Xenopus tropicalis: one gene and its partners. The protein of the gene in region 3 binds, or shares a complex with, the protein of the main gene of each other region. Links are inferred from orthologs where the notes say so. Each region holds a gene or a part of one and is shown on either strand. Other genes may lie near its edges.

Evidence for each region.
Region 1: prpf8 (region 3) and lsm7 share a complex: the UniProt entries of both Homo sapiens proteins name them as parts of the U4/U6-U5 tri-snRNP complex. The link is inferred for Xenopus tropicalis from reciprocal best matches to the Homo sapiens genes PRPF8 and LSM7.
Region 2: prpf8 (region 3) and snrnp40 share a complex: the UniProt entries of both Homo sapiens proteins name them as parts of the U4/U6-U5 tri-snRNP complex. The link is inferred for Xenopus tropicalis from reciprocal best matches to the Homo sapiens genes PRPF8 and SNRNP40.
Region 4: prpf8 (region 3) and cd2bp2 share a complex: the UniProt entries of both Homo sapiens proteins name them as parts of the U5 snRNP complex. The link is inferred for Xenopus tropicalis from reciprocal best matches to the Homo sapiens genes PRPF8 and CD2BP2.
Region 5: prpf8 (region 3) and usp39 share a complex: the UniProt entries of both Homo sapiens proteins name them as parts of the U4/U6-U5 tri-snRNP complex. The link is inferred for Xenopus tropicalis from reciprocal best matches to the Homo sapiens genes PRPF8 and USP39.
Region 6: prpf8 (region 3) and sart1 share a complex: the UniProt entries of both Homo sapiens proteins name them as parts of the U4/U6-U5 tri-snRNP complex. The link is inferred for Xenopus tropicalis from reciprocal best matches to the Homo sapiens genes PRPF8 and SART1.
Region 7: the proteins of prpf8 (region 3) and tssc4 are in contact, whole or in part, in a cryo-EM structure (PDB 7PX3), measured with the Homo sapiens proteins. The link is inferred for Xenopus tropicalis from reciprocal best matches to the Homo sapiens genes PRPF8 and TSSC4. Residues at the interface, in NP_006436.3 of Homo sapiens: Thr2087, Asn2088, His2089, Ile2090, Tyr2091, Val2092, Ser2093, Ser2094, Asp2095, Lys2108, Leu2111, Lys2112, Glu2184, Thr2219, Pro2220, Thr2224, Leu2225, Leu2262, Leu2263; in NP_001284587.1 of Homo sapiens: Pro153, Asp154, Tyr155, Glu160, Arg161, Trp162, Thr163, Lys164, Tyr165, Ser166, Leu167.

The regions. Positions count from the first base shown.
Region 1 is NC_030677.2:92,742,356-92,746,736, reverse strand, and holds the start of lsm7 (U6 snRNA-associated Sm-like protein LSm7), read left to right. Parts: upstream 1-1,435; 5' UTR 1,436-1,461; coding exon 1,462-1,467; intron 1,468-1,671; exon of another isoform or gene 1,672-1,686; coding exon of another isoform or gene 1,687-1,758; intron 1,759-2,530; coding exon 2,531-2,621; intron 2,622-4,381. Other genes in the region: sppl2b (signal peptide peptidase-like 2B), read right to left, coding at 656-703. UniProt on the Homo sapiens protein: Plays a role in pre-mRNA splicing as component of the U4/U6-U5 tri-snRNP complex that is involved in spliceosome assembly, and as component of the precatalytic spliceosome (spliceosome B complex).
Region 2 is NC_030678.2:79,150,023-79,154,406, reverse strand, and holds the start of snrnp40 (U5 small nuclear ribonucleoprotein 40 kDa protein), read right to left. Parts: upstream 3,133-4,384; 5' UTR 3,061-3,132; coding exon 2,980-3,060; intron 1,303-2,979; coding exon 1,173-1,302; intron 587-1,172; coding exon 493-586; intron 1-492. UniProt on the Homo sapiens protein: Required for pre-mRNA splicing as component of the activated spliceosome. Component of the U5 small nuclear ribonucleoprotein (snRNP) complex and the U4/U6-U5 tri-snRNP complex, building blocks of the spliceosome.
Region 3 is NC_030678.2:45,523,627-45,527,557, reverse strand, and holds part of prpf8 (pre-mRNA-processing-splicing factor 8), read right to left. Parts: intron 3,498-3,931; coding exon 3,279-3,497; intron 3,152-3,278; coding exon 2,939-3,151; intron 2,855-2,938; coding exon 2,729-2,854; intron 1,896-2,728; coding exon 1,790-1,895; intron 1,694-1,789; coding exon 1,503-1,693; intron 703-1,502; coding exon 583-702; intron 503-582; coding exon 313-502; intron 1-312. UniProt on the Homo sapiens protein: Plays a role in pre-mRNA splicing as core component of precatalytic, catalytic and postcatalytic spliceosomal complexes, both of the predominant U2-type spliceosome and the minor U12-type spliceosome.
Region 4 is NC_030685.2:13,551,537-13,555,899, forward strand, and holds the start of cd2bp2 (CD2 antigen cytoplasmic tail-binding protein 2), read right to left. Parts: upstream 3,056-4,363; 5' UTR 3,007-3,055; intron 2,991-3,006; exon of another isoform or gene 2,910-2,990; intron 1,877-2,909; 5' UTR 1,876-1,876; coding exon 1,807-1,875; intron 1,662-1,806; coding exon 1,523-1,661; intron 494-1,522; coding exon 336-493; intron 1-335. UniProt on the Homo sapiens protein: Involved in pre-mRNA splicing as component of the U5 snRNP complex that is involved in spliceosome assembly.
Region 5 is NC_030679.2:125,759,180-125,763,694, reverse strand, and holds the start of usp39 (U4/U6.U5 tri-snRNP-associated protein 2), read right to left. Parts: upstream 2,992-4,515; 5' UTR 2,967-2,991; coding exon 2,897-2,966; intron 2,067-2,896; coding exon 1,991-2,066; intron 1,915-1,990; coding exon 1,820-1,914; intron 1,733-1,819; coding exon 1,596-1,732; intron 786-1,595; coding exon 633-785; intron 434-632; coding exon 208-433; intron 1-207. Other genes in the region: UPF0561 protein C2orf68 homolog, read left to right, coding at 3,247-3,347.
Region 6 is NC_030680.2:38,866,078-38,870,008, forward strand, and holds part of sart1 (U4/U6.U5 tri-snRNP-associated protein 1), read left to right. Parts: intron 1-763; 5' UTR 764-765; coding exon 766-1,006; intron 1,007-1,375; coding exon 1,376-1,430; intron 1,431-2,895; coding exon 2,896-2,951; intron 2,952-3,696; coding exon 3,697-3,823; intron 3,824-3,931. UniProt on the Homo sapiens protein: Plays a role in mRNA splicing as a component of the U4/U6-U5 tri-snRNP, one of the building blocks of the spliceosome. May also bind to DNA.
Region 7 is NC_030680.2:22,340,605-22,345,307, forward strand, and holds the start of tssc4 (protein TSSC4), read left to right. Parts: upstream 1-1,568; 5' UTR 1,569-1,741; exon of another isoform or gene 1,742-1,816; intron 1,817-1,839; exon of another isoform or gene 1,840-2,164; intron 2,165-4,408; 5' UTR 4,409-4,481; intron 4,482-4,703. UniProt on the Homo sapiens protein: Protein associated with the U5 snRNP, during its maturation and its post-splicing recycling and which is required for spliceosomal tri-snRNP complex assembly in the nucleus.

The DNA of each region.
Region 1 (4,381 bases), on a different chromosome or scaffold from region 3:
AATGAAGAATATGACTAGCCCCATGTGAAAATCAAAATTAAATATAAAAAAAAAAACCTGTTTGTACTTTTAAAAAATGGATTTCAATGCAGGGCTCTGCTGGAGAGGCTCGATTAGCTTATGTGTTTCGTATAACAGTATTCCTTTAACAAGTCATAAATCATGGTCTGCTATATCATAACACATTTTCAGAGTTAATTGTACTACATTTCTTGCCCACCATCACTTGGAAGTATTCATATTCTTCAGACAGAAGAACACAAAGTAGGGCCTACAACAGACCCTATATCTCAGATATCAATACTGGCTCAATCAGGTCAATTCGTAGCAGGAAATATTTATTCAACAATCTATACGAATTTAATGACTGTCACTAGGAAGCCCGTGACAGCAAACTCCAGTTAAATATTTAAATACTGCGTATAGGAAGCTTCTGGGGATCAGCAAAGCGTGTGTACACAGAAAAAGTCAGGAATTCGGAACAAGGTGGAAAATCATGGATGGGCGGGGCTTTCAGAAGGTATAAAAAAATTAAAGTGAATTTTCGAAAAACAGCAGCACCTTCAATATACAGGTGGCAATGGCGAAAATAAGGTAAATAAAACGCGTAAAAATGATGTTCTGCATTATGAAAATGTAATTGAATATCACTCACCTCTGTTACAAACAAACCCCATAACAGGAAAATCAAAAGAAGCTTCATTTTTCCAGGTCACGAGCCTTAGCAAAGCAACACTCAAACCGCCAAGCACCATTTGTTAACTGTTACTCAGCGCCATCTCCTGGGCCTGCGCACTACATCCAAGTCTTCAGGTTATCCTCCCATTCGCAATGTATTAGTGACAGGTCCCAAAGGCCAAGCCCCATAGTAGAGCAGTTCAATAGAAAGCTGTAATGAAAATGGTAGATGACTACAGGATGTGACGTAACTACGCACGCTACACGCCATATTTGTTTATGGAAAAGTGATTCCAGAAAAAAGTGAAAGGGTGAAAAAAAAAAAAAACGCCCGCCCCACAGGCATAATATTTTTTACAGAGTGTGGGTAATTCAAAATGACTTAATCCATCATATAATTTTGCGATTTGTAGACAGAAAATAAGTTACCATTCACAACTATTTATTAAATTAGGGTTATACACCTAGTCACGGCGACATTATAATTGTCGAGGGCAGTCAATAAAGCTATTTAAAAAAAAAGAGAAAAAAAAGTAGACTCTTCCAAACCAGTTAAAGTCGTAGGGGGTGTGAATGAAATTCCTCAGTGAAAATAAAAAATACATAGCGAAGCACTTTCTTAAGAAAACTTTTAACGTGCTTAACTAGTTTAGTCTAGTACTTCATAAGGATGGAAGAGAGAAGTTAGGAGGAGCAAAAAAATTAATCATAATTAGGTGTACAGGTGCCCCCAGAGCTGATTAAAATGGGTACGCCTGCCCCTAGGAACAGAGGCGCGGGAAGATGGCGGTGAGTGTGTAGAATTTAGTGAGCTTTCGTCCGGTAGAGTTGGTCAGTCATATATAGTGGATTATGGAACGTTTTTTCTTTTTATTGCGTAGCGGGTACCCATGATTAGAACATATTGCTAAAGACTGTAAAACAGTGGGAGGTGATTAAGAGGAACCGTAATTATGCGTCCTATCACATCCACTTAAGACGCCGCGCACGCGGCAAAGTACTCATGCGATGAGGTATATTCGCAGCCGTGTGTTTCTTCTTTTTATGAGCTGGGTTATCCAAAGTGTTGTATATAAAGTGGTCAGTAAACAACTCTTAATTATATCCGAATTAAATGTAGTTCCAGGGAAGGAGAGGCAAGGAGCCCTAGGAGAGTCATGATACAGATCTAATGACAAACTGATCAAAACAATTGTTTGAATGGTGCTCCTTTCCCCCCCCCTCTTAAATGAAGACAATACCCCCCATACATTGTAGGTCTCTATAAAATATATTGCATGAACAAGCTGAAATGTAAAACTCTGCTTTATCTAAAACCATTTTCATAAAAATATACTTTTTTTTTTTTTTTTTTAAGCAGATTGTGCTATTGGGTACTCCTAAGTAGAAGATAGCCATTTTAAGAATTAAGGATTGCATAGGATTCACAGTGTACAAAAAATGCAGAGACACACACACACACACATGCTAGGTCACATCAGCCAATGAATGGACATAGTTTTGTCTTTTGCTTCCAAACCTTTCCCTGTTAGAGCTGCATTATTTCTGGTCATGTGATCTCTGAGGGAGCACACAGCCCATCACTAAATGGTGGCTCAAGGGAAAAGATATAAAAGGCCAATATTTACAGATATATTCCAGTTTTGCGAGATTCTTTAATAGGTCACTTAACATAACCAAAAGATTATATTTGTTTTTTATTAAGTATTCATTCTGGGGGTATAGTTTTCTTTAACCTTATCTGAGCTTTAAAACTTTTGGAGCCATATTTTCTCAAATCCTCTTACTATATAGCCTAGTATTGCTCTTAGCAGCTCTAAATGTATAAACATATTTGATTGTTTTTCCCCAGGACAAAGAGAAAAAGAAAAAGGAAAGCATTCTAGACCTCTCCAAATACATAGACAAGGCAATTCGAGTAAAGTTTCAGGGTGGAAGAGAAGGTATGCTTTCTAAATGTGAATTTCTAAAGAATTCTACTTTGCCATGCATTCTTAAAACAATTATTACTACAAAGTACTGCTACTAAAGCTTTGCCATACGTTATAAGATTCACTTGTTTGACAAGGTCGCTGAATGAGTGTGTCTTTCACTGATATGGACCTTAAGGTGGGCAAAATTGGGCTGATTGTATCAAAATTGTCTCTATGCAGGCAAGTAACTAGGACTACAGCAATCACAGATGTAGTCCTTGATTCAACAGGAAAATCAAACCTGCAATCTACATTTTGTCTGTATACAGTATGCTACAGTATGCAAGACGTGGCAGTTATGCTGTAGCTTAAGTACTTGAATTACTTCCAGAATAGTTGCTGTGTGCTACAATTTCAGAGATAAGTTAGTAACTTAGGTTGGAACATATTCAGAACATATTCAACCTTTTATGTCTAAATGAAACCTTTCTAACTGCTAATTGCTCCAGTTTTGTAAATTCCCACTATTGTTATCAGATCACATGAAAAATATGCACATTTTTAATAAATCCAAATTGTTAGGGCTGTTTATTTGCAAAGTGATTGCATTTTAATTAATGCAGCTGGATGTTCCTGACTTGTCTCTGATTTTTCAACTTTAGGTCTTCTAAGGTAAAGACCTACATTTTTTCATCTGTGCATTTCTTTGCAGCAAAAGATACTATCCTTTATTTTGTGCAATAGAAAATGGAGAGAGGTGCTGCAGGGGTTGCTTCCTCCTTAGGCAGCAGGGCTGATGTTCCTTCCCCAACCACCCTCACTCTTTTTACTTTTGTGCATTGCTTCCCCTGGTAGCCTGCCATACACTGCCATTGGTTGGCAAGTTTCTCACATATTAGGCACCCACTCCTAGTAAGTATAATTACTAACTTTCAAACCCAAGCCAGTGCTCCTCCAGCCTGGAGTACATTCCCTGTAAGTGCCGCCATCTTTTATCAGTCTTCCAGGATTTTTTAAAACCCTGCTTCATCTTCAGTAAACCTTCATCTAAATAAATGGTACAATCCAAAAGTTACGAAATTTTCGTATCCGAACGAAACAATCCGGCGCAAAAAACTTTCTGACTTTGAACCTTCAATGCATGATTTTGGAAGCCTCCCACAGGACTCAATGGCACTCTGCAGCTTGAATGAATTTCAAAACTTTTGTAGTCGTTGCGATAATTTCGATTTTGTCTCACAAATTTATTCAAAGCACAAAAAAGTTGCGGAAATTAACAAAAATATTGTGGAAAATACACAAAGTTCTATAAATTAGAAAAAATACAAATTTTTTGTAATCGTACCCATTCAGACTTTGATAAATCTGCCCCAGTGTGTTCACATACTTTTTTTGTGTGCGCCACAATTTGTTGTGTGTGTAGGGCTTAAAATGTATGTGTGGATCCTCCTCCAGCTCTAGGTAATTTTAATAAACCAAGTGCATTTTTCATTTTAAATATTTTTATTCAAATAAAAAATCTTAATGTATAGCCAATGCATAGGGAAATGTAAAGGGAGTGATTCTTATTTTAAGGGGAACACCTTTTATTCTGGTTCTCAAAATTATTGTCCAGCAGTGCTAGCAGGAACTTTGTATATAAATAAAATAGAGCAATTGAGTAAGTAGAATGAAGGATCCAGCCAATTTAATGCAGTTGCCTAATTTGCTGCCACTAAAATTGTTTACAACATTTGTGGAGGAAGTAGTGCTAGGTAAGGCTGACATAACTGAGTTCATTCTAGTGTAAG
Region 2 (4,384 bases), about 34 Mb from region 3:
CATTCAGGATCCATTTAATAAAAAAAGATAATCAAAGAATCTGAACTGAAGATATGCTGATTTTACAAAGTACAGTTGAACAAGTCACAATTAAAACTAAACATCCCTTTAAGAGTTTTTTTTTATTACATAGCCTGTAGAACATTTTTCAAGATGCAAACATGGCTTTTTCTGCCGTACTGGCTTGTATTTCTTAAACTTTCTCCACTTGCTATAGAATAAAGTAGTGGAAAAGGCTTGAAAATCACTATTAATGGCAAGTATTGCAAGGATAGCTATATTAACTAAAATCCTATTTAGAACAGCACTGACACATTTAAGGAAAATCAGGCATAAACCAAAGATATTACAGTGTCTGGCATCCTGGTCTTTGCAATTTTACAGAAATTAGTATGCATAATTTAGTACCACCAATGTGTAATACACAGGATAGTTTTCAGTACCCGTAAAACAAAAATGACTACATAAGCCCCAGACCAGACAATTACCTACCTCCCGTCTGTATTGTAATGAAGCTCCATCACTGCTCCACTATGTCCTTTCAAAGTTGCATAATTGTCACAGTCGCCATATACATTCCATAGCACTACAAGGCAAGTCAAAATAAACTCACTCAATAACTTCACAATTTAAGGGTAAAATACATAGCTTCATTTTTGGATTCAAATTCTAATTGTTATTAATGTACAATGCAGCATAAAACTAAAGTTTAAATGGTTTCATATTCCTTGTAAATTCCAGATTCAGACGGTGTCAGTTTTCTTGCAAATCAGTTAAATACCTACAAAGAAGTTCATGTGTGCTGCTAAATTTACTTGCTTTGTTTAATAGAATAAGTTACCTGCTGGGCAAACCTGCCAAAACATGGTAGCTTATTTAATTTGATTAAATATTACAAGAAAAGAAAAAATAAAATAACACATACCTGCATAACTTTCTTAATCTGATCAGTTGTAACATTCATAATTAATGTTACAGCTTGTATAGTGTGATAATGTGCTAAAAAGGAGCTAAAAAGCATAACAAAATTACAGGAGGTGCAGATTAATCCTTAATTAGTAACGTATAGATGGCCAATTAATTGTGTGATTCTACAGATGAAAAACAACATCTGCTACTAAGTCAAACAGCTGCAAAATACAAAGCGTATAAAACAAGTGAAAGTTGCTTACAGATAAGTCTGTCAAATCCTGCAGAAGACAAAGTTACACCATTGGGATGAAATTTGCAGCAATAAACTTCTCCTTCATGACCAGAAAGCAGCATGATGGGAGCCTGAAGACTGGATGATCTTGGGGGACCCTGCAGTCAACAAGTTCAGAGAATTAAACATCAAAGTAGATTCAGTTCCATTTATTACCTAAAGAAATATTTTATTCACCTTAAATTTTTAGTATTCTATAAATTACCATTTCTATTCTATTTTAAAGGGGCACTGACACATTCCTATAACAGTAAGGAACTTGTCAGTATTACCCATAATGCAGCACAACACTACTGCTTTTATTGAAGATTTACCCCAAATCTCCTCCAGCCCAGTCACACTTACCACAGGCAGAGTTAAAGGAACAGTAACACCAAAAAATGAAAGTGTATAAAAGTAATTACAATATAATGTACTGTTGCCCTGCATTGCTACAACTGGTGTGTTTCCCTCAGAAAGACTACTATAGTTTATATAAGTAAGTTGCTGTGTAGCCATGGGGGCAACCATTCAAAGGAGAAAAGGCACAGGTTACTTAGCAGATAACAGATAAACCCCCATTATATGGGGCTGATCTACTAGTTATCTGCTACATAACCTGTGCCTTTTCTCCTTTTTTCAAGCTTGAAAGGCTGCCCCCATGGTTACACAGCAGCTTATTTATATAGTAGCTTTTCTGTAGCAAAAACACCAGTTTTTTGCAGAGCAACAGCACATTATATTTTAATTACTTTAAAACACTTTAATTTTTTGATGTTACTGTTCCTTTAAGCCAGCAGTCTGGATAAAGAGATGCTCCCTGCAGACATGCGGGCTGTGGGTGGTGCCATCATTCTATAGGCAGGAATACAAATGTAAACTGTACTCCAGCCGTTGGAAGGATTGCATGGAGGCCAGTGTGACTGACAGACAACTCGTTAAAGTAACATTCTGCGTGTAGTAGTGTTGGGATGGGGTAAGTGTGTTTGGGCTGGGGGAAGCCCAACCAAGTGCTGCATTGTCAGTAATACTGACACGTTCCACGTCAGTATTCTTTTAACTACTCTTTGGCATATTTTCTCCCCTTAAAATTCAGTTTTAGTATTATTGTTATATTGCCTATTGTTTATCAGTCTATTGAGATCCTTCCCTAATTATTTGCCATTTTGAGTTCCAATCTACTTCTTGGTTGCTAGGAGAATTGAGGTCTAAACAAACAAACCTTAGAGGCGCAGAAGAAATAATCAAACTAAAACATGAGAAACAGATATACAGACTAAGGTCATGCTGTCTACACTATACTAAAGGACATTTTAAAACTGAACTACCCCTTTCAGAAAAAAGGCATGAAAATGGGTTAAGAGAAAGTCCCATAGCAGTAAAAATACTAGCTTTTTATTTACTATTTATAACTTTTGGAAATAAAGTTTTTTTTTTAAAAAAGAAAACTTTAACTTGATTACCTTCATTAAAACAACTAGAAAGTCCCATAAACGAAAAACCACAACCCATTAGCGTAGCAAAGTGTAATCACAAGGTCCTTAATGGCTGTGTGGGGTGCACAAGACGAGTCAATACTATAAGTAATTATACCCCTACCTATGTTCAGACGTTAGAGCCTTATGATTACACTTTTTAGCTTATTCTTATACCGTCTAAATCTTTTAATAAAGGAAATAATGGTACGATTTAGATTATGTCTATAATTTTACCTAAAGTCCAAGTCAAATATGCCCAAGGAATGAATGGTTACACTTATCCAAGCCAACCATTTCATTCAAATTCTTCATTCTTACCGAAACCACCAACTCGTTCCTCGGTTTTTTTGCCTGTACCGGCACCAACTCCATTCCCTTCCGCTTGTTTTGCTCGATCATGTTTCCAAGAACTCCTTCCAGCTTGTCTAACACTCACAAACCCAGCCACACTGTAAGACTCGCTTGCGTTCCCACTCAGCAGCGCAGGATGCTCACGCAATTATCCTGCGCAGTCACTACCTGATAAAGATTATAGTGGTGATTGGCTCTAAGACAATCATGTGACCTTGAAAGCCTTTAAGGGGCGGAACAGAGCTTGCGCCGATTTTGTCCATTAGTAATGACGTACGATGGGCGGGGTTGCGCGTATAAGGATGTTTAAGCAACTGGGCTGATACAGGAGAAAGAGAAAATGACGTAGAAGTTGTTGTAATTGGTTAAATGTGATCGGCCGGGGAGGAGACAGCGAAATGGCGGCCCATCAAAGGTAAAATATATAACAAGTCAGTTAGAAGAAGATTAATAGGCTATTACATAAACCATTATTAACGCAGCTTGATATTTCTCTGCAGGTGATTCAATTTTTTTAGGCACATCACATGTAATTTTGTCTACTCCAGTAAAAGGGGCTGTTGGCTTTAGGTGCCTTACATGCTGTTAGCGCACACTGAAGGATTCATAGGCTGGACATGCCTTCACTTTCTCTTCTATATGGAGCATATCTATTATAGTGTGTAAGTCGACATCATTGGTGGTGATGTGGCCCTTAGCAACCAATCAGATCTTTGCTTTGGATTTCTAACTTTTAGGTGACTGCTAAACTCTTAATTGCTGATTGTTTGCTATGTGCAACATCACTGGTGATATTGGCTTATACGCTAGTAAATAGGCTAAGGATTAAGGCCATATGTTATTCTGCACATAGAGCCACATTTACAAGCGTATTTGTAAATTTAGAGAGGTGACAGACGGGTATATTAGTCGCCCCGCAGCAATTCTTTGTTGCTGCGGGCAACTAATCTCCCTGCTATGCCATCCCACCAGCAGGAATGTAAATCGCCGGTGGGATGGCATATGCGTCACTACGATTTTCTGAAGTCGCCTTAAGTTGCCTTAAGAGGAAACTTCGGGTGACTTCCTTAGCCCTATGTGTTGTAGCAGCCATGATTACTATAAGGTATTACAAATCTATTGTCACAGTGACCCAGTTACACAGTGTATGGGTTTGAACCTGCAGTGAAAAAGAATGAAAGTGTCCCTGCCCTATGTTATGCGTATTTATCTCATTATTCAGAGACTTACGAAATATACATATTTGTATATATATCTTTATGTGACTCTAATTTTATATGCAATTGTTTTTTTTTTTTTTTTTTTTTTTACAATACTTTTATATTACAGTGCAATAAATAAAATATTAGCAGCTAAAGAGATTGAGTGCCAC
Region 3 (3,931 bases):
AAGTCATACACCTCATAACCCTTAGTTAATTCTTTATTTATTCCTTTTTTCTAAATTAATAAAGTGACTACTATGCTACTAGGCAGGGCAAGTAGAGAACCTGCTGCTAAAATCCTACACAGTTTCATTGCTTTGAATATCACAAGGAGCAAAATGCCAGTGCGGGATTTGCTTGTTTGTCATTAAGGTAAGAATAGGTCCAGGCCAGGGTCTAAACTCTTGAAAGGCACTGTATAAATGTAACAGCAAATAATCCACTAAAGGATAAGAATCAATTTCAAAATTCCCACAATTTAAGAATCATTGACATACCTTTGTGGTCAGCGTTTTTACTGGCTTCAAATTGAAATTGTAATCCAGATGAAGATAGTTAAGGTTCTTTCTGTGAATCAGCAAGTTCAGCATGTTATAGCCTTGGCGGCAAACCTGCAGGCCTACTTCCACCCAGTCCAACTTTGTCGACTGAAAGAATTTTGTGGCTTTAAATGAACGGAAGAGATACCTGCAAAAGGATTATAATCATTTAGCAGAAAGTAGACTACAAGACTTCAGATTACATGCATTGTAACTTAATTTGCTTACCTTTTCTTCTGAGCTTTTGGAGGCCTGTGTTTCAAAGCATTTAGCACATAGTACTTCAGCAATTTCTGGTAAGATACTCTGACTTTTACTGGCTGGCCAGCAGGACAATGCTCTCTGTACCTGAGAATGAAAGGAATATTCTTACTGGTCAGTTACTTAAACACTGAAAACATGCTGTCAACACAAATATCCCATTTTAATGATCCTATTCATTTCTGAACAAGCTTTAAATAATATTGTAACAATAATCTAAAGACTATCTGCAGGGGCAAAATGACTCTGGGACAGGCTGACAATGGAAAGTACTGTTTGGAGAGTAGTAGTCAGCACCAAACTTTGTGGTTAATTAGAGGCAGTGCAGGTTCCCCAATGGCCACTTTCCATCGGTATATCCAAATGTCGAAGAACAGGAACAGGACCTCTTGTCTTTTTAAATTAAAATGCCTTTATTGCAACATCTTCATATAAAAAGACAAGAGGTGCTGTTCCTGTTCTTCGACAATGGAAAGTACTGTGTCACAGTCAGTTTCGTTAAAGGCCCTGAGCAAGAGACCATAACAGCATTGTATAGCTTTTCTTTCAATTTACTAAATCAAAAAAAAAAAAGTTAGTAAAAGGTACAGCAATAAAGACAAATATGCAAGTTTTCGGAGTTTTCCTCCTCTTTAACAGCAGCTGGTTACCTGGCAGACAAACATTTTTAGCCACAATGGGCTCTTCAAAAAAAAAAAAAAATCCACTGAACTGCCAACAGCAGGAATATTAAGTGTAAAATTTTTAAAAATTAAATATCAAGCACCTTTTATATAAATTGTCCTGCACAAAACTTTTTCTGACGGAACTAGGTTAACATTGTAGGAAAAGTAATAAATATCAAGCTACTGCAATAAAACCTGAAGTCTGAATGAAAGTTTGCTCACCAGTTTTTCACAAGAGGAATATCAATAGCCCTCCTGGTCCTACCAGAACGCAAGTTGAAAGGACGAGGAGCCCAAAGTAAAGCAATTCCATTAGCGGTGTTATCTGAATACAGAGGAGTGTCTTTAAGGAATGGTTCAACATATTCTGGCAATTCAAATTCCTCATCATCATCTGGCAATGGCTCTTGGCTCTATAACGAAAGCAAGCAAAATGAAAACCAACAACCTTGAATAACTTCCAACCTACATAAAATGTATCCAATTATCTTTACTCTAGAATTTCTCACCTTTACAGAATGCCTGTGTGATATGGGATTAATCAGTGGGTCAAAATAGAATGCTGGTAAATCAGGATCCTCAGTTTTGATAAAAACCACATTTGGTGTGTGATACCTGTGAATGAAAACATAACAATTAGCATGGCACGAATAGCTTCTCTCCTCTTTTGCAAAAAGTAAATCATAAAAGTTAAAGGACATATTGGATGAATGGAAAAAACCCTAATATTGTAGGCAATTATGAATAATATACAGTGCTGGTATCACTTTGGGCTAAAAGTTAATCCTATCTGTAAAAATTGCCCCTTTATTGAAGCTCCCTATAGATCGTATCACTTCTCCGTCCAGTGTGAAATAAAGAGTGGGCGTGTCCTAAAATTCCCTGCCAGAAGCACAGTAGGAGGGGGGAGAGCCAATCAGAGCCCTGCACTCACACAAGCACAGACAGGCTTCAGTTCCCTATGAGGTCAGCCTAGCTGCTGATTGGTTCCTATCCTACAGTGCAGTGTGCTGAGGGCTGCCAGCTCCCCAGCTCATCCAGAGAATTCAGCCAGCAGGAAGTGGAACAGATGGACGAAACTAGTGGGGTTTTGGTGGAATTTCTCAATAAACCAGTCCGAGACAACTTTAAGCACAATCCTTCAATATTTAGAGGAGTATAATTCACTGGTACATTCTTAATTTTTATATGATATGTCTCCTTTAATACAGCTTCACAGAACAATCCTAAAGTGCTTATTTACTGCCCTACGCATAATTTACAAATTCAGAAAACTCAAGCTAACCCTTTCCAAGAGCAAATTACAAGTTAATACGGAGTTAGACAAATGAATTAAAACAGCTTTATAGAAGTAATGAAAAGCCCTAAAAAAGACATTTACACAGTTAGTTTAACAGGTAAGGCATAAAAAAAAGCAACAAACAAAAAAAAAAATTAAAACAATTTACCAGGTTAAATGTACATGGTGAGGAAGATTGTTGTACAGGTAAGGAAAAGCAATCTTGTATTCTGTTCGAATTGGCTGTCGGATAATTATCTTGTTAATATCATTAAACTCATTCCAATCTTCATCCCTGTATAAAAAGAGAAATCAATCAATTTTATCTGCTTGCACCAGGAAATGTACTAAAAACAAACATCACAGCAACATCACTTACTGCAGGTTAATGTCACGAACAAGAGGCTCAAATTTTGGCCCTCCAGGAATAGCCATGTTTAATGCTTTGGAGGTAAAGAATGCCTTTAGGTCAAACAGGTAGAAGTAGTTATCATCAACCAGGTCAGTCAGAAGCTGATTAGCCAATCGATATAATGTAGACATCATCGGAAGTGTAAACTGCCACCGCTGATAAGTAGTACCATTCACATACCTGAAAATGAAAGGCATTACAAATAAAACATGGCTTGGAAACTATTTGACAAAATTAGCCAATACAAGGAGAAATGAGCATTATGTCTACAGATACAAAAACCAATAGAGTAAGTAACTAGCATTACTTTCTGTTGTCTCTTAAGGGCTGGTGATCATAGAACCAGTCAGTGACTGGAGCATCTTCCTCTGGGTCCAGTTCAAGCTGAATGGCTTCCAGGGGTTCAACATCAAGGATATTGTCAGCATAATCCAGTGGAGGCTCCTCATCATCAAATGGAGGAAACCTCATCCTCTTGAAGTGCCGTCTGTCTCTTTTTTCTCGCCTCATCATAATCCACATTGACCTGGTAAATTATTGTGATAGAAAATACAAAGTCAATAGGAATATGGATTCATATATGAGATTGTTTTTAAAGAAAGGGTTTAGGGACATTAAACTTAAATGACTACTGACAATAAAACTGAGGCAGTGCTATTCTCAGGACCCAATATGCCAGGCTGTAATTGCATCAGTTGCACTATTTTCTAGGATACAAAACACCAAAATCCCAGCATGTTTCACTTAGCACTGCATTAGGAAGTTAGACTTTTGCACTGTATCTACATGAACTAAAATCACAAAACATTTCCAATTAACCAAATATGTTGTGAAACATCAATGTAAACCTATGGCAGTAACTCTCTTAATAAATGCACAGGATTTTTAATTAGATTGTGCTTTATCTTTTTAATGCATTTTGATCATAAGCTTATTATCAATTAATGTTGTTAGCCCTGC
Region 4 (4,363 bases), on a different chromosome or scaffold from region 3:
TTTTGGGTTCAGTCGAACCCCAAAAGTCTCTGTAAATGATTTGGCCAAATACTGAACTGAATCCTTATTTGCATGTGCAAATTAAGCTACGGAACAGTTAAATGAAGCGCGCGCTTAATTTTTTACTTCTGTGTTCATGTGATTTTACAGATTCTGCAGAATCTTGCCTGAATCCCAAACTGAATACTGGGTTCAGTGCATTCCAAGAGGCATCTAATGTGACTGTGTTCATACAGTGCCCAACTTGATTCTTGGATTGTAATCACCCTGTTCCACCTGAAGGGACTCAAATTCTGCTATTACGTTTCATGTTCTCCCAATTCATATTCACTCACCCAGTCTATATTATCAAGCCAGTGGTCCCGAATCTGAGCTTCTTTACGCAAAAAATAGTTGCCCTCAGAGTCAAAATGCCCTTCCTCCATTTCCTCCTTCAGGTTAAAAGGAGTAATCGGAACACCACCCTCCGACTCCAGAGTAGCGTTTTCTTGTCCTGCAGAGGAAGAAGAGCAAAGACAAATTTAAGACAAATTTAAGTCAAATTTAAGGGGCTGTTCCTGCTGAATTGTGCTTAGTACAGGGGAATCCCTATGCTGCTATAGTTTTATGGTATCTCTCTGTACTGGCTATGAGCAAACTTAGGGGGCTGTTCCTGCTGAATTGTGCTTAGTACAGGGGAATCCCTATGCTGCCATAGTTTTATGGCATCTCTCTGTACAGGCTATGAGCAAACTTAGGGGGCTGTTCCTGCTGAATTGTGCTTAGTACAGGGGAATCCCTATGCTGCCATAGTTTTATGGCATCTCTCTGTACAGGCTATGAGCAAACTTAGGGGGCTGTTCCTGCTGAATTGTGCTTAGTACAGGGGAATCCCTATGCTGCCATAGTTTTATGGTATCTCTCTGTACAGGCTATGAGCAAACTTAGGGGGCTGTTCCTGCTGAATTGTGCTTAGTACAGGGGAATCCCTATGCTGCCATAGTTTTATGGTATCTGTCAGCATAACATTTGCTTTGCTCATAGCCTGTACAAAGACTTTACTATAATATCCAGTATGAAGTAGTCCGCAAAATGGCCATGATCTTCTTTTGTAGATGACTGCCCCAAGCCACCCCCAGCTGATGGGTACTTACTGCAGCAGACACCCTGATATGACTTTAGGTGACTGGGAGTGGAGAGCCCATTGTGCCCAAGTTATGCTGAGCTGGAGGAAGTGCCATCTTTTGATAGGTTGCAGTAGAGTTTAAAATTGCAGTTCAGCCTATGGAATTACTGGCCTGCCTCCAGCTCAGCATAAGCAAAGCAAGCAGCACTGCTCCTGCAGCTCACTCCCTCATCATTACTGTGGGTACCAATACACTAGGGTGGCCTGGGGGCAACTTATGCATAGGATGTTTCAGTACCAGGTATCTTTAGCTACCCTCTCCCAAACATCCTTATATTATGCGTCCGCTTGTTTCTTGTAAAGGGGTTTATAATACTACAAGAGGCACAAAGCGGGCACCCTGCTATGGAATCTCACCTTCAACATCCTCGGGGGCTAATATGTCATACTTTGCAGAACGTCCATCACTGGTTTCTTCCTCATCATCTTCCTCATCGCTGTCCAGAGAATGTTTCCCTTTAAATCGACTTCCTGGGCCTCCCACTACATCCGGGAGCTTCAATAAAGGGGTGAGACCGTGTCAGACATGCACATTGGCTAATGCAGACCGTCTATATAATGGCGTCTTTATAAAGGTTACTGGGATCAGTTTGGAAAAAGAAAAGCGACATGGTGCAATTCGGCTCTGCTTCTTAACTTACCCTTTTTTTTTTCTGCTCATCATCGTCGTCTTCAGCCCCATCCACAAATGTGACCTTCCTTTTAGACATCCTATAGAAAAGGCAACAGGCACTATTAATAGGGATGCATTAAATACAGGATTTGGCCAGTGCCTGGCCAAACCGAATCCCTAAAGTCACATGACTTTTCATCGCATGATAGCGGAAAGGAGGAGTTCTCTTTAGCCCCTTTGTACCAGGATTCAGCGAATCTTTCACAAAAGAATTCAGGGTTCAACTGAATCCCAAAACAGTGGAGTCGGTGCATCCCTATGAAAGACTACAGGTATTGGACCTCTTATCTGGAAACCCATTAGAACAGAACAATCCTATTGGGTTTATTTAATGGTTAAATGATTCCCTTTTCTCTGTAATAATAAAACAGTACCTGTACTTGATCCCAACTAAGATATAATTACCCCTTATTGGGGGCAGAACAGCCCTATTGGGTTTATTTAATGGTTAAATGATTCCCTTTTCTCTGTAATAATAAAACAGTACCTGTACTTGATCCCAACTAAGATATAATTACCCCTTATTGGGGGCAGAACAGCCCTATTGGGTTTATTTCATGGTTAAATGATTCCTTTTTCTCTGTAATAATAAAACAGTACCTGTACTTGATCCCAACTAAGATATAATTACCCCTTATTGGGGCAGAACAGCCCTATTGGGTTTATTTAATGGTTAAATGATTCCCTTTTCTCTGTAATAATAAAACAGTACCTGTACTTGATCCCAACTAAGATATAATTACCCCTTATTGGGGCAGAACAGCCCTATTGGGTTTATGTCATGGTTAAATGATTCCCTTTTCTCTGTAATAATAAAACAGTACCTGTACTTGATCCCAACTAAGATATAATTACCCCTTATTGGGTTAAGAGACCCTGTGAGTAGAAGGGAACTTGTATACAAAATAAAGGGGGGGAAAGTCTAAAACCAGGAAAATGCAAGAAAACCGCTCGGTGTGAGGAAACATGAGGGGAAGAGAGATCCCTGCAGGTTCCTCAGTATAACCCTGTTTATAACATAAATAACGGAGAGGGGATTCGTATCAAACAGGCCCCGCCCCCAGGGCCGACCTGCCGTAAATAAGGGCCGGTGTTTTGCAACTTTAAAGGCCTCACAAGTTCCCAGATCCCCTTAGTTCTAGCGCAGCTCGGTAAGTATCCAACAAACCTTTCGTTTTTCGGAAGCACTCGTCGAGACGCGGGTGTCGCAGCCGGATGACGCGCAGGAAGTGATGAAGTCAAACCGGAAGTAGGGCAAATGAAGTTGTATCGCTTTGAAATATGACTGTATAGCTGCTGCAGGTCACAAAGTAGTCGTCTTGCAGGGGATGCTGGGACTTGTAGTTGTCACTGGTGCATCCCACTGACTTATTAATGCACAATTTAAGTTAAAGCACCAGTAATAACATTAAAAAATAATTGTCATTTATTGCCACTGGTTATTAAAATGGGATTGGGTTACAGGGCTTTTTCCTGATAGTTATAGGTTTTATAACCAGAGAGAGGTCATTTAGCCAGGAATGGAAGGGCCCCAGGAGAGAAAGTAAATACATTGTTGGTCGCTTTTATCAATGAATCAGACATGGTTACATACCTCCCAACATTTTGAAACTGAAAACAGGGACAAAAATAAACGCTGCGTGCAACCACACCCCCTAAATACCACTCCCATTTGACTAAATTTACTTATTACATTTGTTATTTATTATTATTATTAACATTTATTTATAAAGCGCCAACATATCCCGCAGCGCTGTACAATAAGTGGGTTTCATACATTGGGCATACAGAGTAACATATAAAGCAATCAGTAACCGATACAGGAGGGGAAGGGAGCCCTGCCCAAAAGAGCTTACAATCTACAAGGAGTAACATATAAAGCAATCAGTAACCGATACAGGAGGGGAAGAGGGCCCTGCCCAAAAGAGCTTACAATCTACAAGGAGTAACATATAAAGCAATCAGTAACCGATACAGGAGGGGAAGAGGGCCCTGCCCAAAAGAGCTTACAATCTACAAGGAGTAACATATAAAGCAATCAACCGATACAAGAGGGGAAGAGAGCCCTGCCCAAAAGAGCTTACAATCTACAAGGAGTAACATATAAAGCAATCAATAACCGATACAAGAGGGGAAGGGAGCCCTGCCCAAAAGAGCTTACACTCTACAAGGAGTAACATATAAAGCAATCAATAACCAATACAGGAGGGGAAGAGGGCCCTGCCCAAAAGAGCTTACACTCTACAAGGAGTAACATATAAAGCAATCAATAACCGATACAAGAGGTGAAGGGAGCCCTGCCCAAAAGAGCTTACACTCTACAAGGAGTAACATATAAAGCAATCAATAACCAATACAGGAGGGGAAGGGAGCCCTGCCCAAAAGAGCTTACAATCTACAAGGAGTAACATATACAGTGGTGTGAAAAACTATTTGCCCCCTTCCTGATTTCTTATTCTTTTGCATGTTTGTCACACAATATGTTTCTGATCATCAAACACATTTAACTATTAGTCAAAGATAAC
Region 5 (4,515 bases), on a different chromosome or scaffold from region 3:
TGGGGCAGAATGTTGTAGTGGGTGATTTTGCCAATAACCGTACCAAAATGCTAAGGGTTTATATACGCAATCTAAAGGGGGAAAAAACATATGCAATGGAATAGAAAATAAGGAAAAGACGGGACAAAGAGCATGGAAAAACTGGAGCGAGACCTGAAATGTTCAGATAAACAGAAAAAAACAGGACAGAGGGGTGGAGATATTCACCTTGCTTGGTGATCTGGAAATTTTTCTTGCTGCAAAGAACAACAGCCTGGAGCATCTCATGTGGGGAGACATGAGCCTTAAAATTCCTGGGGTTCCACAGTTTGCGCATTAATTCCCCAAATCTCTGCACAAGCAGGAACATGATATCCCCAGGAGGGCGCTTAATATCACAATAATTCTCTTCCTCCAGAAAGTAATTTCTCAGAGGAGGAACATTGGAGAGAGCCTGGAAGTGACCATAAAGAAATTAGTGTACATTGGCCATGAAATCTGCACTATGGTCTGTGGGAGCAAAAGTGTTTAAAGTGTTTCAGACTGATGAATGTTAGGGCATCCAGTGAAATAGATGAGAGATGATTCTCTGCTGCAGTGAAGGTGAGGTGGTTAACTGTTACACAGGCCCTGTATATTGTGAAAATTCCTACCTGCAAAACAGCATTGGCATAATCATTAGCTTTGATATTGTTAAGTCCCACGATGCCTGGGAGGTAAGTGGTACCATCATATGCTCGAGAAAGCTTGGCCTGTTTGTCTAAGTTACCAATTTGCTGCTTGGTGAAGGTTGGCTTCAGCACATACTGTAGAAGACAAAGAGATAGTTACTAAAAACATGAAAAGCAAAGTTAATATGGGGGGGGGGGGGTGACACAGTTGAACAGACAGAGACAGTATAGAAATAATGTGCACATTTTACAAAGCCCTTTACTTCTGTAAGAACAGCTACCTTTCTCTCTTATGGCCTGAGGCCATCTATGTTCTCAATCCAAGGAGAAACCCAGTCCTTGTTTCCATGTGTAGATTCACACTTATATAAAAAAAAAAAAAAAAAAAAAAAAAAAAAAAAGAACTTTGAAAGACTGTACTGAAGAATGGGGGCCAGCCAAAGGAAGGGGAAAAATGCTAAGGCAACAGGCAGCTAGTGGAGCTAGACATTTCTGCCATCACTGGGCTTATGTTTCCCTGTTACTGACCATAAAATCTGCTTTTTGATGTATGCCCTGCTGTGTGTTGCATGATCAGAGCAGTACAGGTGATCCATGGCTCTTTTGCGGATAATATGCTATTCTACCTTTCCCATCCTAATTGCTGGCTGTGGTTGAACTCACTAAAGGAGACGTATGTGTTGTGATAGACACATCAAGTTAGTGAAGGGATTGTTGCTCTTGAGTATAAGAGTCTAAGAGTATAAGAGTCTTTAACTTACCGACACCTGTGTTATATAAGTCAACAGTGCACTCTAAAAACTCTGGGAACGCCATACCACTTGTACTGGGCACTAAGATTGCACCTTGGGCAAATATGAACTGGGCCATCCTGATTTTTTGTCTTCATATTAGAAAATGCCAAGGTCACATAAACAAATGGGGCAAGAGAGGATGTGCAAGTACCGTAATGTCTTCCAGGGAGGAGTCAATGATATTATAGTTGTCCGGCAGGCAGTAGAACTTCAGTGTGTGCAGATTAAGGAAAACATGGTGACTGAACTGAACACTGTGGATATAGGCATGGGACTTCAAGCCTCGACCTTGGGGGGGGAAAAAAAAAAAAAAAAGAGAAAAATTTGACAAAATAAGGGCTCATCTGAACAACACACTCTGTGCCACTTACTTACCCTGGAAGTATTTCCCGCATACAAGGCAAGCATATGCATTAATGTGAGAAAGAGAGATGGAACACAGCTTCTCAAAATCAAAGTCCAAGACACTCCTGGTAAGAACAGAACCAGTGTTATTTGTGAGCAGTACATAATCAACACAGTCCCAAGCAAAACAACCAGACTGACCTGTTAATGGTATCCAGATATGGGCAATGGCGACTACGTCTGTCTTCAAAGTCATACCGCCCGTGCTTTCCTACAACTGCCAGCATTACATGCACGTGTTATATATATGTTATATGTACAGTTCTGAAGTTAAACATGCACAATTCACCTGTATCACCCACTTAAACTGCTTGGCCTGCAAATCACACTTGGATTGCCAGGAAAACATTATGGAAGAGTGACACTGCCATTACTTGGGCTAAAATCACAGGTAGGGATCAGAGGGTGGCAGCAAATGTGAACCTAGTTTCATACAGAAATTAATGACCTAAATGGTCCAATCAGCCATCCTTGTGTCCAGCTTTAGAGGTACCATGCTGGGACACCATGCACAGACATGGCCGGAGCACTGACAAAACAGGTTTAATGATCCTGTTTTGGGGGGGATTCCATATTTTCTCGGTGGGGGCCCTAGTAATGGTGGGGGCCCCGGTAATGGTGGGGGCCCCGGTAATGGTGGGGGCCCCGGTAATGGTGGGGGCCCCGGTAATGGTGGGGGCCCCGGTAATGGTGGGGGCCCCGGTAATGGTGGGGGCCCTAGTAATGGTGGGGGCCCTTGTAATGGTGGGGGCCCTAGTAATGGTGGGGGCCCTAGTAATGGTGGGGGCCCTGGTAATGGTGGGGGCCCCGGTAATGGTGGGGGCCCCGGTAATGGTGGGGGCCCTAGTAATGGTGGGGGCCCTAGTAATGGTGAGGGCCCTGGAGAAATTCCTTCTCTGACACAGTGACAGACACAAGCGGAGGAAGCACATATTTATTATCCCCCCACGCTAACACATGTGCACCACTCTTTTTCATTCGCTTTTACTCAATCAATCCGTTACACTATTCACACCAAGTCGCATCAATAGAATGAGTTTCCCTCACCTCTCTCATCATCATCATCGTCGTCGTCTTCCTCCTCCATCTCCAGTTTCACCCGCTTCTCAGCGTTCATTCTGCCTCCACCGACTCTCCTGCGTGTCTCGCCTCTCTTTGGACTGAAGCCCCTCCCCCACGCCGCTTCCGTACACTTTCCTATACAACAGGAACGAGTCACGGAACGCTAATGTCAGGGATGCATTGATTGGCTACATTAGCCTTTGTCGAAACAAAAACAGCCAATCGCTATCTCTCCTACAATCGGCTGCGACGGGATAGTTCCTACCAGCGGTAGCTAGGGGGCGGTATTGGGATTGAAAGGGTGCCCGTGTTGGAAGTAGACTAGAGCCGGGAGTATGCAGGAGGAAGTGGAGGTGCAGGGCAAAGCCGGGCCCGGTGGGAGGCTGGATATGAATCACGGCTTCGTTCACCATATCCGGCGGAATCAGATCGCGAGGTAATAGGGCTGGCAGCGGCCGGAACTTTTTCCTTTAAAAAGCAGAAACACTGAGACTGTTCACGTAGTGTTGGCCATGGGGCTGCTTCCATGAAGGTTATACTGGTGCTGTTGGGGCCAATCTATTCATATACCATCCCTGCCATGGCATTGCCTGGTACTTGTGTTCCTAAAGCTGGCAGGACTTCAAATGCACTGAAATATGAACTAGTGTTTCCTTGCTAAATAAATGACAGATTTGCTTCTGAAATTCCAATATTTGTGTAGCCAAACTCCTTTGGGCAGTGGAGGCAGCTGTTCAGTTCCAAAAGGGCTGTCCCATTCATGCTTCTCTAGCGGATTCCTGTTGAGATTTTGAAGTGACCACACCCACTTTTAAAGTCCGCACCTTTTTAAACTTGGATGGGGCTATTTAATAAAAGGCACTAAGTTTTCCCAGGAGCAGCAACTGATGGAACCAGTCAGCAGGTAGAATTTACTGGTCACCTATTGTAAAGCACATATCTTATTGGTTGCTATGGGTTTAGGGTTGCCACGTCTGTCTGTCCGGGTCAAACTCCCTGCCCCATTTTCCAAATGAGGGAAATCGGACAGAACTCCTGGCACCGATCGCCATGTCATAACCCCACCAAATCCCTCAATGTCATAGACCACACCTCCAACATCATCCGCCTCACCCCATGACATCACCGTTCTGCCTCCCACACAGGCATTCCCCAGTCAGAAGATGGCAACCCTATATGGGTTACTGCTCATGGGCAAACTAGGTACCTTTTAGGAACTTTGCAGGAGCCTTGCATGTCAAACTGTCACAGCCATTGGTCTACTAGCATTCTGGGTTGTTTTCAAAATTACTATATACCAGTGTGGGCATGCTCAAAAACAGGGCACTAGCCATTTCCTAACGATTATCACCTGACCCAAGAGTGCACTGGAAGGGCCTAGACTGGTGATTAGTGGTTGGGCATTATAGAACATTTAGTCACCCCTGAGCTGAAATCATGCAGGGGCAAATGTACACAACCTCCTCATGTGCCACCGCCTCTAATGTTTACCTTGTGTAAAGGTGGCCATACTTGGGCAGATTTAAGATGCCGATTGGGGTCTTTCAAAGAGTTTAAGCAGCTTATCTGCCCGTGTATGGGGCCGTCCAGCAAGCCACCCCAAC
Region 6 (3,931 bases), on a different chromosome or scaffold from region 3:
TGTACAAATTACTAACCGTGCCCCCACAGGCCTAGTAATTGTCTGTGGCATCTTACAGCAGCCACTCTGGCATTTGGCAGAATCTACAGATTGTCAGTCAGGGCCTACTGTCTACATAACTAATACATTACAGTGGCTCTTAACTGACATTGAAATAGACATTAAAGCTTATATCTATCCTGTACAAATGCTAGGCAAGGATTTACAACTTCCCTAACATGGGAAACAACATGCCTAGATGCCTAATATTGCACATTTCCTTTTACTAATATTCTTTATATATACATTATCATCTTAATGCCATCTCTGTGGGGCATCTTTATTGGCACTGCTTCCTAACTTAAATTATTTAAACTCTCAGGGCACAGGACCTTACATAAAGGTGCCTTTTAATCCACATTTTGGTGCCTCTCATAAATCCTCATTATCTACAGAAATTCATAACATCCAATATCATACGGTATCTTGGCAAAACTTTTTGTGGTTATTCAGATCTCTTAATTAATAATGCTTTTATCTCTAAATACGTGGTAAAAATTTTTTATTCTTGCTTCTATTAAAGCCTTTTTGTGAAACATTTTTTAATCTTGCCGCAATGTGTACTTTGTTGGTAATCAAATAATAAAATATTTCTTATAGAAAATGCAATAAAGGTTTGTCATAAATATATTCACACTTATTTAACCAAACACAGCAGTGGATTAAAATAAGACATACATGCAAGCATCTTGATGAGAAGCTCATATGTATATTCTCTTTGCAGCCATGGGGTCTTCTAAAAAACATAAAGAGAAAGATCGTGATGTTTCCACTGCAAGTGGAGGTGATGAACGTCACAGGGAGCACAAGAAGCATAAGCATAAAGAACGAGAGCGTGAGAGACGCAAGAGGTCAAGGGAAAGAGAAAGAGAACGGCCACGAGAAAGGGAAGGCAGGTCCAAGTCAAGCAAAGAATCTGAATCACGAAAGATAAAGAAGGAAAAACTAGATTCTGTGTATGAGCATAGTAAGCAAAATTTTCATTCTTACTTTTGATGTTTTTTTAGAACATTGCATTCTAATCAAAATAGTTTGTGCAACAATTGTAAAGTCCGTTCATAAATTAAAGGAAAGCCCACCTCTGCAGGAAAGGTTATTTTCAGTATTGGGCAACTGACCTTTTATCATCAGTAGCCATTCCTAAATCTTTTTCCAGTTACCTAAACTACATGGTCGTCTGGATTAAAAATAAGAACGCTGGAGATATGGAGGGTATTTTTATATGCACAATAATGCATAGCCTGTGAAAATGGTTACTTATAACTTTGAGTTATACTTATTCAAAAAGGTTATGCGATTAGCCCAGTTAAGTGTTTTTCTTTCTCCTCCTTTTCAGCTATTGCTCCCAAATCTGCTGCTGGAGATTCATCATTGAGTATTGAGGAGACCAAGTAAGTACACGTCAAGGAACAGCATATCTTTCTTTACTGCTGCAGTTTAAAGTAAATGTAAAGGCTCAGTAAGCCATATTAGAAAATTCATTTCTTAATTCATTGTTTCCTGTGGTACGCAGGACCACACACACAATACATACTCCTTTATTTTAAAAAAGTATACTTTTGACCTGCAGCATCAAGATTTTTTTGATTTTTTTTTTTTTTTTTTGTGGGACATACACAGCAAAATCTGCTCTCCGTAAGTTAGGCACACAACAAGACAAGTTTTCTAACAGCCCTCTTGTGGGGGGGATTCTGTGTTGGATCCTGGGGGCAAGCAGTTCCACTTGAGGCTGAAAAAAACCTCAACATCACTTTTTCGATATTTGCTTTTTTTATTATGTAGTGTGTCTAGATTGTGGCTTTCAAAACATCTTCTAGTGTCCCTGTCCAGAACTGTATTAGTGTCACATTTCTAAAAGGCACTCTGTGCCTAGCAAAAATGGCCCCTTTATTGGAGGTCCCTATAGATCCTATCACTTCTCCGTCCAGTGTGAAATGAAGAGTGGGCGTGTCCTAACGGTCCCTGCCAGAAGCACAGTAGGAGGGGGAGAGCCAATCACAGCCCTGCACTCACACAAGCAAAGACAGGCTTCAGTTCCCTATCCGGTCGCCTAGCTGCTGATTGGTTCCTATCCTACAGTGCAGTGTACGGAGGGCCGCCGGCTCCCCTGCACATCCAGAGAATTCAGCCAGCAGGAAGTGGAACAGATGGGCGGGGCTAGTGGGGTTTTGGGGGAATTTTTCAATAAATCAGTCTGAAACACAACTTTTTAAGCACAATCCTTCTATATCTAGAGGAGTATAATTCACTGGTACATTCATAATTTTTATAGGATATGTCTCCTTTAAGGTAGCTGTTGAGCCTGAAACCACCCATGCACTCAGCAAGTACAGGTGGTTCTTTTCACCAAAACACAAATTAGAATATTGTAATAACCACTTGTAATAGCAGTTTCCATTAGGAATATGTCAGCAGCAGCTAAAATGCCTTTTTGTTACGCCTGATAATACATAATTTTATATACAGACGCTGTGACAGGAATATAGAAGTGTTTTAGCCTCTGCTTATTTTTCCTCACAGCAGCAGTCAAACCCACCCCACCCCTAAGTTCTGTAGATCTTGCTATAAGCATACATGGGGGGGGGTCACATGGGTGCAGTGTGATTTCCCACAGGTGACAAACACAAGCATCTTACTTGTGCCATTTGAATCATGCAATTGTTTAAAAACACAGAAAAAAGGCATTTTATCTTTAATGATTCAAATTGTTTAGATTTAGGTTTCAGGGAAATGTGGAATATGGAATATAAATGTTAACAGTGTAGCATATTTTCCTATGTGCTTAGAGAAGTGCATTTGGTGTTGATTACATTGTTTTTTACTTGGCATGTTTACAATTTTTTTTTCTTTTGATAGTAAACTTCGTGCTAAACTTGGTCTAAAACCTCTGGAAGTAAATACAGTTAAAACTGGTGAGTTAATAGTACTTCATGTCAGCACAAGTGAAATGTACTTGTCTTACTGCAGACTGTTTAGTATTCTCCCCTGACAAAATTAAACACTTTTTACAGAAGCCAGTAGGACTCATCACCATCATTCTTCTTTGTATATATCACCAGCAAGTTACACAGCGCTTTACATTAATTTATAGCAATAATTTAACAAACCAGGGTTACACAAGAGCTTGCAATTTAAAGGACAGGGTGCATCTGCATGCACAGTCTTTCCGACTTCTGCAAAAAAAATATAAAGGTGTGCAAGGTTTGGGCAGATTTTGAGGCCGAAGCAGGGATATGCACTCGGCTAAAAGGGGTTGGGGAGAACACTGCTCTTGCAGACATCATTACTTTATAAATTAGTCTCCGCTGCAACATGCGTTAATAATGTAATGAACAAATCCTTTAACGGAGACCAGAGGCACAGCAACATAATCTTATTTGAATCAGTCTCAAGTTTTATGTGACTATAGGCTCTAAAATTATATTCTCTGGGGTGAATGTGCCCTGTTCTCAAAACATTAATTTTATGTGGATTTTTATTTTGTAAAAATCTATAACTTGTACAGATGGCATCAACACTGGCATTATTATTTTTGTTTAGCGCTAATTTACAAAGTTAACAAATGTCGGTATCTTACTTTACCATTTTTTATTTATATAATGCTTTTTTTCTTTATTGTGAAAATGTGCAAACATTTATTCTGTTTAACATGTGCAGAGAGCGGCACTAAAGAAGATCCTGTAGCTGCTTCTGTCATTAATCCTATTGCACTAAAACAGCAACAAGAACTTAGAGAGAAGTTAGCTGCTGCAAAAGAGAAGAGATTGCTGAATCAGAAATTAGGGTAAGAGGAGAGTGGTGCGGACCTAAAGTGATAAAAATAAGTCAAAACCTCAAAAGAATGGGTATGTGCTAGCTGTGGTAAAATACATGTTGGGAATGCTTTTCTGCC
Region 7 (4,703 bases), on a different chromosome or scaffold from region 3:
TATCCCATAATGCCAAGAGTGCTCCGAACAGCCTCTGTACTTATGACTAGAGCAGGTCTCTGTCCATAAGTGCCTCCCCAGTATCCCTAGGCACACCAAACTGCCCTCGGTGCTATCAGGGGTGTCAAACAGATAAAAGTGGCCAGTGGACCCCTTGTTGCATTTAGCTGGCTGCTGGGCAACCTTTCCAGTGCCAAAGAAGAAGGGCAGAAAGCCTGGGCAAGTGGTGATGATAGTGGCATAGGTTACCTTAGTAACCTAACTTTATGGAGAGGAGACTCAGCTTTCCCCATGGCCAAAGAGGGACCCAAAGAGACAGGGGACCCAGTAAAAAGCAGCTGACATTCCCCATTCACAGCCCCTATGGCCCATGGGTGGTATGGGGGTGTCCAGAGATCCCAAGGTACACCCCTGGCTTCACTGTATTGGACAAGATTATTCAACTGCTTCACAGGTGCCAAAGAAGAAGGGCAGAAAGCCTGGGCAAGTGGTGATGATAGTGGCATAGGTTACCTTAGTAACCTTAGTAACTTAACTTTATGGAGAGGAGACTCAGCTTTCGCCATGGCCAAAGAGGGACCCAAAGAGACAGGGGACCCAGTAAAAAGCAGCCCACATTCCCCATTCACAGCCCCTATGGTCCATGGGTGGTATGGGGGTGTCCAGAGATCCCAAGATACACCCCTGGCTTCACTGTATTGGACAAGATTATTCAACTGCTTCACAGGCCTCATACACAGGCCAATTTCAGTTGCCGATATTTGTCCTTTAGACCTTGCCAACAAGCGGATCTTACAGTGTATGGCCCCCTTTATAATCAACTTGGTTCTCAGCTTCTTTTCTTACACAATACCCAGAAGTCATGGATACCATTACAAATCACAAGGCACTAGTACCCACCCAGGCGGCACACAATTATTTACCTACTGGGCACTTAGGGACCTAGACTGTGGGCCCCGCCAACAAGTCACCAATGGAAAAATAAGAATAATGGGCAGCACATGCATAACCAAGGCCCTGATCAACCCCAGTCACATCCCATTAGAGTAAAATCTTGCCCACAATCCACCTAAACCCTACCCACTCCCCCTGCCCTTTAATGACCAGTGAATCCTTCTTCTGGAGCCCCCTCTGCCACAGGGCCTCTGATTGCAGCACCCCTTTACCCCACTGATGGCAGCCCTTCCTATAGTAATTGGAAACACAATTGCAATTCTCTGCCCATGGCTATGATGCAGGCTACATGTTTGCTGAGATGTCATTTGGGGCAATGTAGTAAATCATAAATATCCCCATAGACACTGTATTGCCTGCTTATATAGTAACCTGGGATCCCTATGGAATGGGTTATTCTAGGTGCAACCATTAAGCAGAGATCATGTAAAAGCACTGCTAAATGCCAATTTGAGAGGGGAAAAAAGTACATAAACTTTCATAGAAATTTCTTTATTTTCCAATTACACAAATACAACTTTCCCCATTCGCGCCTTTAGCCTCGTTTGCAACACACACATGCAGTTGGAAGAACACCCCACTAGAGGGCGTTCTGAAGCGCCGCCCCCAACCTCGCACACTCATTGTTGTTTAGCACTTCCGCGTATTAGCGAGGTGCATGCTGGGAGGAGGCAGATTGAAGCCCGGGAAAACCTTATGGCTTGTTAGTTTGCGGTATGGAGGAGGCGGAGAAGAGAGAAACCATTATAGCTGAGCTGAGAGCGATAGAGAGCAGCGCTGCCAACCTGTGAGGCCCCGCTAGTGTGAATGGGAGAATGGTGACTATAGCGTTAGGCCCAGGGAGACAGTCACATGATGCAGTGTAAGGCGGCAGCGGCCCTGTGGATGTAGCGATCCGATTAGGGATATCCCTGCGCTCCTTCCTTGGTACCGCCATACCGGAAGTGTTCTGGGACGCGCATCCATTAATACCGTCCCGCATTTGTGCTTCAGGCATAGCTTCATGAGCCCGCACCTTGCCTGGCTGGCTGGGAAGGACATATAATGTGCAACGTTTGTTAAATATTTTGAGTGTATCTATCGGTGCTGCCTTCATTCTGGGGTTCCACTGTGACTTCCGGTATCACCCCAATAGGGGTGGGAGTTATAAATAAATCTCAACTTGAGGGTAGTGAGTTGGACATTGATGTAGTAAGCAGGAAAATATAAGGTACAGACTGGGTCCCACAATTCGGCCATATGCAATGGAATATTCTCCTGTTTGGTTAGAGATGCCAAGAAAGGCATAGGGAAGGGATTTTACACTAGAAGGAGCATCCCTGCTGGGCTCAGTAATGGAAATGACATGTTGTACAGTTCTGCACCTCACTTGGGTGGCGGGAATATCAAGGGGGCGGGGAATTAGAAGCACCCAATGACTGTCCTTAGAATACATTCAGACGTGTGATTGGATGATGGAATTGCATTTCTTATTATTAGAGATCTTTCTATTAATGTTGATGTGCCCTGTCTCTGACTGCACTGCTAGTCCTAACTCTTGGGAATGGTGATTCCTTCATTATTTATACATTGTCTGAATTTCTCTTTCATATTGGAAAATGCAGTCATACCTCCCAACTGTCCCGCTTTATGCGGGACAGTCCCGATTTTGCCACCCTGTCCCGCTGTCCCGGATAGCTGCAGATCTGTCCCACTTTTAAAGGTCTCTGCTCCCGTGACGCCACACGCACGTCTCCCCTTAGCGCCACAGCTTCTGCGCCGCTCACTTCAGTTTTAACATAAAGCCATTCACAGTGCAGCAGCTGCGGCACTCAAGAGACGTGCATGTGACGTCACGAGGAGGAGAAGAAGAGCCCTGGGGCACAGCCGGAGGAAGCTGGTGGTGGTAGGAGCAGGGGGTGCCACAGAAAGCAGGTTGACGCTGGGGAGGACACTGGAGGAAGGTTAGGGGCAGCTGGAGGACCCTGGGAGGCAGCTGGAGGATGCTGGGGGGAGCTGGAGGATGTTGGGGGAGCTGAAGGATATTGTGGAGGATGTTGGGGGGAGCTGGAGGATTTTGGGGGGAGCTGAAGGATTTTGGGGGGAGCTGAAGGATGTTGGGTAGGACGCTGGGAGGAGCTGAAGGATGTTGGGTGGATGCTGGGGGCAGCTGAAGGATGTTGGGGAGGATGCTGCAGTGGGGAGCAGCCCGTAGTAGGGGGACACTGCGGGAGGACCAGCAATGTTTTAGGGGGTCCCTGCTCTAGCGCCAATGCAAAACATAACACCTGGCTACCAATGTCTGGTCATGAGTTTGTCATTAAATACAGGTGCCACAGTGCATAATGAAATCCTTAGGGCCACAATATGTCATAAAATGATTGGGGCCACCGTGTCTGTCTTCTGGTGCACTTTGTGTATGTTATGCTTTTCAGGTGTGGTTTTGTAAAATGGGCCTGTTTGGGGGGGGCGTGGCCATAAAGTGGGCGTGGCCTAAAAATGTTGGCTTGCGCGCCAGACATTTCTGTCCCTCCTTCTGCTTTTCAAATGTTGGGAGGTATGAATGCAGTAGCATTGCTGGGTAGGCTGGCATGTTCCCATGATTTACTCTCTTATAAATACAGTCAGTGGCATGAATTTATATTTTGTGTTCGTTAAGTGACTCCTCGCTTTAGTGTTTTACACCATAACATTCCATTACACCTTTTTAGTGATCAAATTAAGGTGTTCTTTAAATTCTAAAATAGTTACTCATTTGCCTGTTATGGGACATCTATGTGTCTGTAGGCCTACAGTTCACCCTCTGTATACTGCCTGGCTGGGGTTTCAGGCCTGCCTGCCATTGCAAAGAGGTGGCCATTTAATTGAATTGGTATAAATGAATGTGGTTTTTGTCAGGAGAATCTACTTGGCAGTTAGCAAGGGAGGTGCTATGTGGGACATATTAATAGGCACCCTTGCAACTATTAATCATTTATTGGTGCCTATGAATTTACCTTTATAGATTCTAAGGTATGAAAATGGGTGGACACCCCTAGTGCCAACTTCTAGTGGCTCTGGTGCTGCTTCGGGATGGCAGAGATTTGCCAAAGTAAAAAATTCTTCCATGGTAGCTTCTATATTAGTCTGCATGTAATGTAAAATATGATGATGATGTTATGAATTTCGGACATGTTGGGACTCGATGTGAGGGCCGTTTATTTGGAAGAAATGGCCGTGTAGCTAATGTTAGGCTCTTCATGTAAAACTTACTGGCAGACCTTGCTAGGGTTGGCACGTAGTTGACAGGAGACAACTTGCTGACACTTGATGTGAGTGAGGACTGGTTATGTGGGATATATGTCTGTTTCAGTGGATATAATGAAATCCTAGCTACCGCAGGCTTTTATTCCAAGCAGAGGCTTTTGTTAGAACTTGAACACCAGTTAAAATGAACATTGAAGGTTCATGTGTGTCTATTTTTTTTTCTTCCTAGGGTGAAATCACTTAGAATATTGGTGGAATTCACAGACCCTGAGAAAGGAGAGCTGAGCCAGGCACAGGATAAGGTAATTGATTAACTGGGGAAAGAATAGCACTTTTTTTTTTTTTTAATTAAAATCAGTGTTTGCCATTGCTTAATGTTTTCTGGTCTGTCGCATATCTCTTTGTGCTTTCTGTCACCTCCCATAGCCCTCCTTTGCCTTACGTCACCTGATCATTACCTGCCTATTGGCAGCCGTGGTGCATTCTTTATTCCGCCTTTTTGTTACATGCAGTTGGAGGGAACA